Linked DNA regions of Macaca mulatta. The protein of the gene in region 2 interacts with the protein of the main gene of each other region in a pairwise test. Links are inferred from orthologs where the notes say so. Each region holds a gene or a part of one and is shown on either strand. Other genes may lie near its edges.

Evidence for each region.
Region 1: the proteins of PRKAA2 (region 2) and CCNB1IP1 interact in binary tests that used the Homo sapiens proteins (3 or more experiments, as listed by UniProt). The two-hybrid records come from large-scale screens. The link is inferred for Macaca mulatta from reciprocal best matches to the Homo sapiens genes PRKAA2 and CCNB1IP1.

The regions. Positions count from the first base shown.
Region 1 is NC_133412.1:93,119,178-93,122,837, reverse strand, and holds part of CCNB1IP1 (E3 ubiquitin-protein ligase CCNB1IP1), read left to right. Parts: coding exon 1-145; intron 146-1,369; coding exon 1,370-1,703; intron 1,704-3,660. UniProt on the Homo sapiens protein: Ubiquitin E3 ligase that acts as a limiting factor for crossing-over during meiosis: required during zygonema to limit the colocalization of RNF212 with MutS-gamma-associated recombination sites and thereby establish early differentiation of crossover and non-crossover sites.
Region 2 is NC_133406.1:183,918,201-183,920,515, forward strand, and holds part of PRKAA2 (5'-AMP-activated protein kinase catalytic subunit alpha-2), read right to left. Parts: intron 1,623-2,315; coding exon 1,384-1,622; 3' UTR 1-1,383. UniProt on the Homo sapiens protein: Catalytic subunit of AMP-activated protein kinase (AMPK), an energy sensor protein kinase that plays a key role in regulating cellular energy metabolism.

The DNA of each region.
Region 1 (3,660 bases), on a different chromosome or scaffold from region 2:
CCCAGGATGCTTCGGGGCAACCCTACGCACGCGCGCTCTGGTGTAGTTCCCTGGAGCACTCGCGCAGAGAATCCTGGAATCTTCGCTTGTGGAGCTGTGGAGGCAACGGAGTTTTTCCGCGCTTTTTCTTTCAGCCTCAGATTAAGTATCATTTGTTATTATTATTTTCTCTACTGAGCGCGGAAAGCTGACTGAAAATTCCAGACTGTAATTTCTGTGGGGCTGTTTCTCTAAAACTTGGCCCTCACGCAGCTTGTACAGCCATTAGATAGGCGCTTACTCCCAACTGGTGGAAGATTCGAATTAGCTGCGCCTCTCTTGCCTGAGCGAGGGCTCAGCTTTAAAGCTTCCCAGCTCCTCTGCTTCGCCTCTGCCCCGGACGTAAAATAGGCCTCTTAACGTGGCTGCCAGGTGACATACCTGAGGAAACTCACTGAGCGGGGCTACTGGGATAAAGGTGTCCAAGTGTTCCTTTCTGTCGACCCGGAGGGCCAAGGCACCTTTTTTTTTTTTTTTTTTTTTTCTCTGAGGTGGAGTCTCGCTCTGTCGCCGGCTGGAGTGCAATGGCGCGATCTCGGCTCACTGCAACCTCCGCCTCCCGGGTTCAAACGATTCTCCTGCCTTAGCCTCCTAAATAGTTGGGACTATAGGCGCACGCCACCACGCCAGGCTAAATTTTTGTATTTTTGGTAGAGACGGGGTTTCACCATGTTAGTCAGGCTGGTGTTGAACTCTTGACCTCGTGATCCGTCTGCCTCGGCCTCCCACAGTGCTGGGATTATACAGGGGTGAGCCACTGCGCCCGGCCTATATATTGGTTTTGAGACAGATTCTTGCTCTGTCGCCCAGGCTGGAGTGCAGTGGCGCGATCTCTGTTCACTGCGACCTCTGCCTCCCGGATTCAAGTGATTCTCCTGCCTCGGCCTCCCTAGTAGCTGCGACTACAGGCTTGAGCCACCACGCCTGGCTAATTTTTGTATTTTTAATAGAGACTGGGTTTCCCCATGTTGGCCAGGCTGGTCTCGAACTCCTGACCTGCCTGCCTTGGCCTCCCAAAGTGCTGGGATTACAGGCGTGAGCCACTGCCCATGGCCCACATATATATTATTTTTGACTTTAGCAAGATCTGTAACCACCTTTGTCTTTACCTTTATCCTTAAAGTGTTTTTAGAAAACCGGACAAACAAGGAGCACAATTAATATTATTGAGTAACTGAAATCAATATATCAATTATACTAAATACAAGGAATATAATAAAATGTGCAGTATTTTATAATAAAAACATGCATGTTATATTTATTTTTTACTTATTTATTTTATTTTTATTGCAATTTAACTTACTTGGCCTTTTTATTTACCCCTTATTAGGACTCTCTTCAGCTTCTGGAGACCTCACTATCCTATTATGTCTTTGTGTGAAGACATGCTGCTTTGTAATTATCGAAAGTGTCGCATCAAACTCTCTGGCTATGCATGGGTCACTGCCTGCTCTCACATCTTCTGTGATCAGCATGGCAGTGGTGAGTTTAGTCGCTCACCAGCTATCTGTCCTGCCTGCAACAGTACCCTTTCTGGAAAGCTAGATATTGTCCGCACAGAACTCAGTCCATCAGAGGAATATAAAGCTATGGTATTGGCAGGACTGCGACCAGAGATCGTGTTGGACATTAGCTCCCGAGCACTGGCCTTCTGGACATATCAGGTTAGTGCTTAGTCTAGTTTCTCTTGAACATATAATTTCAGGCATTTGTGGGAGCTTCTAGTGTCTTTTCTTCATTATTTTATATTTATTTTTTATGAGTATATGAGAAACTGTCTTATTAGCTTGTTTTGTTTTCAATAATGTTTATTGTTGAAAATCAAAAGGAAGAAAATTAAAGCACTCATAATTCCATCACTCAGATATAACCATTGTTGATATTTTGGGTACACACACATGCGCGCGCACACACACACACACACTCTGTCTTCTGTATAAAAGTAAGATAATAACACACTGTTTTATTGTCAGAGTTGACAACATATATCTGGTATGTATTTTTCTTTCTTTTGAGATGGGGTTTTCTTGTGTTGCCCAGGCTAGTCTCTAACTCCTGGGTTCAAGCCATTCTTCTGCCTCAGCCTCCTGAGTAGCCTATGCTCCACTGGGTGTGAATATCTTGTTAAATATTTTTTAGTTAACTATTCTATAATCATATTTTAATGGTTATATTGTTTTTAGCATAATTTATTTCCAAGTTATTAAAATACTATGATAAGCATTCTTATCAAATAACACATCCTTAACTTCTTCCCTTTATGATTTCTACTTTAGTATTTCCTTTGAAAGACCTCCCTGTGGATAACTTTAAGCATGTCCTTGAATGTATTGTTATATCTTACATATACTCTTATACTTATTAAGGATGTTTGTCATCTGTTAAGTAACTTTTTATTATATTTTTCTGGGTAAGTTGTTTCTCTTACATGCTCCTGTATTTTTCAACTCCTTTGGTTAAATACCAAATAGTGTTTTTGCTGGCTTATGTGGTAAGAGTATGTTTATTTTTGTAAGCAACTGCCAAATTGTCTTCCAAAGTGGCTGTACCGTTTTATATTGCCAGCAGCAATGAGTGAGAACCTGTTGCTCCACATCTTTGCCAGAAGTTGGTATTGTCCATGTTCTGGATCTTGGCCATTTTAATAGGTGTATAGTGGTATCTCATTTTAATTTCCATGTCTCTGATGACATACGATGTGGAGCATCTTTTCATATGCTTTTTTGCCTTTTTTTTTTGGTGAGGTGTATATGAAGTTTTTGGTCTATTTTTAAATTTTTTTAATTGTTGAGTTTTAAGTGTTCTTTGTATCCTTACTGCGTTTGAAGTATTCTTTGATCCTTTCTCAGAGCTATCTTTTGCAAATATACTCTCCTGATCCGTGACTTGTCATTTCATTCTCTTACAGGGTCTTTCACAGAGCAGAGATTTTTAACTTGAATGAAGTCCTGCTTATCAATTTTCTCTTTCATGGATTATACCTTTGGTATATTTTAAAAGTCACTGCCAAATCCAAGATAATCTAGATTTTATCCTATGTTATCTTCTGGGAGTTTTATAGTTTTGCATTTTACATTTAAGTCTGTAAACCATTTTGAGTTTATTTTTGCAAAAAGCGTAAGATCTGTCTAGATTCATTGGGTCCTCAATTTTTTTCTGGCTATTCACCAGAGACTCTTAGTTACTTGCCTCTTGGGCCTTCCTGACATGGCTGCTTGCCTCCTCAAAGCCAGCAAGGGAGTGTGTCTCGTAGTAAGACAGACCTTATAGTCTTAGGTAATATACTTACGAAGTGACAACCTGTCACATTTTATGTAGTATTGTAGTCACAGGTCCTGCCCACATGCAAGGGGATAGGGAGTTACACAAGGGTGTATGTACCAGGAGACAATGATAATTTGGGGTTGTCTTAGAGTCTGTTCTTCATGCTCTGGATGACTTGAAAAATGGGATTATATTTCTTAAAAACCTTTGGAAAACATGTCACTTGTTAAAGTAAGACAAATACTCAGTTCTTTTGGTGGTATAAAGTTAGTGGTTTGAGAGTATTCTTCCAGACTTTTTTTCTATGCATTTAATAACATAACTTACTGTTTTCTGTGCCTCATTGTGTATCCTGAT
Region 2 (2,315 bases):
ATAAATTACACATAATTTAAAATTAAATACTTTTACTAAAACAAAACAAAATATAATCATAAACTATTATCTACCCTGCTATAGTTTGTGTTTTTTTAATCTTAAAAAAACCTGCACAAAGCAAAACAAAACAAAACAAAAACTGGTTTTTGCTTAAAAGCACTGGTGTGTGAATACACATATTTATTTATTGAAGAGAAAAATTTTTTCTTGATGTTCAAAGCTTCCCTGCCCTATCAGGTTCAACAGTGAAGGTCATAGCCTATCAAGCTTTGGAAGTGTACGAAAGCCCTTAGGGCCAGAAGAGTGTTTTCAAACTTGGAACTAGAAAAGATTCAAAGCTGTACCCACCAACCACTGAGGATCAAACAATGAACAAAGACAAGAGTGACTAGGATAGGTGGGGTGAAGGGAGTGGCTTGCCATGAAGAATCAGCATTATGAGATGCACCAGGACCCTAACATCTAACACACAAAATAAAGATCAAAGATAATTCTCATTTAAGGGACTGTTGATACCTTGCTTTTTTTCATTTAACTATTTTATCACTGTTTGGTGAAATGCAAAAATAAATAGAGCCAAAAGAATTTGAGAAAGGTAGGTTTTGAAGACATTTTTTAAAAGATGTAAGTATATGTAAAAGACAAAAGTTGTTGCAATTCCAGGTGTTCCAATACTAATTTGAAACTCGAATGCTCTTAAGATAAATATATTATTCAGGGAAATCTCAAGATAAAATACTGAGTCAGTTACAGCTGCTTTTAAGAAACCTGAAAATTGTGGTTACCTGTGACATGACCACAGTCCTTCTGTTGAATATACTAGGCAGTATTTGTAAAAATACTGTTAAAAGAACTTGGCTTCTGAAACCTTGGGGGCAGGTTTTTAAGATTTCAACATTTAAATAATATCTTACTCGTGGTTCTTTTACTTTTTAATCTTCTTTTGTTAAAATAAATTGGGGGCATAAACACAGCATAAAGCCTACTGAAATTTAGGAAGTAAACTGGATTTACCTACACCAAACAGTAAAGCAAGGAGGTGTTGCCAAACCACCCTTACATTGAGATGGTTCGCCAGTGTGGTGTGTTAATCATCCGTAGTGAACTCATTATTGTAATTAAAAATCTTCATCGATATTAACCTATTAAAGATACTGCCTATGTGAATTTATCATAGGCACAATAGAATTACAGATTTCTACAAGTAAATAAGATGTCAGATATTTTGTTTTCAGTAATTTCAATAGCATTGTGTGTCCCCTGGATATAATTCATGTCTCTCAATTAGTATTGCAGTGGATATTATCCAAAAGTAAGATAAAAATTTAAAGAATATATCTGATTTTCATAGTGCAATAACAGAAAGAAACTAGAGACAGATCAACGGGCTAAAGTAGTAATCAGACTGGCACACATTTCAAAAAAATCCATGGTGTGACTGCCCAGGCGAGGTGAAACTGAAGACAATGTGCTTCCGATCAAAGAGCCAGTGAGAGAGCCAGAAAGTGAATGGCTCTCTGCAGTTGTGGAATCAAAACTTGATCTTGGTCTGTGTAAGCCAGCAGCAGAACAGGAACGCTGAGGTGTTGAGGAACCAGACCTCTGCTCCACTACTTCATCTGAAATGGACCAAAGAAGAGCAATTTATATGAAAAGTATATATGCCCAAGCCCTTCCTATGAATTTATGATATTCAGAATATTAAGTAAACACATCTGAGCAAAGGCAACTTAATAATGAATGTCATGTTTCAGTGTTTTAGAAGCACAGTTCTCTTCCTTCCAACAATCATAACAAACATCGCTACCAATCACAACACGTGCACACAGCCAAAATGTGGCCTCTAAGTCCTTCTCAAATCGGAGTATTGGGCATTGATACTGGCATCAATCAAACTGATATCTCTTCATGTGAAGAAAGCGTATCCTTGACAACTTATTTTCTTCTAGCATATCAACAAAAAAAATCATTAAGGTAAAAATAAAAGTTACCATCATATATTGCCTTGGGGAAGTGGGGGGCAAAGTGAGAGAAATCTTGTTAAAACTGCAGATTCTACGATTCCCAGGACCAAAACACAGGGATCTGTGTTTTAATAACAACATGTAATTTCGATGAAAGAGGTCTGGGATCCATATAAACACTACCGTACATATTTGATGGTAGTTCAAGAGTAAAATTTAAATACTTTGTTTAAAACAACTTCCCTAACTCTAAACTCAGTTCCATTTTTGTTCCATCCAGCACCTGACCCTCAGTTTATTCTGGTTTTATCCCACTTGGGCCTCTGAAATGAATAATCAGATTTGGTT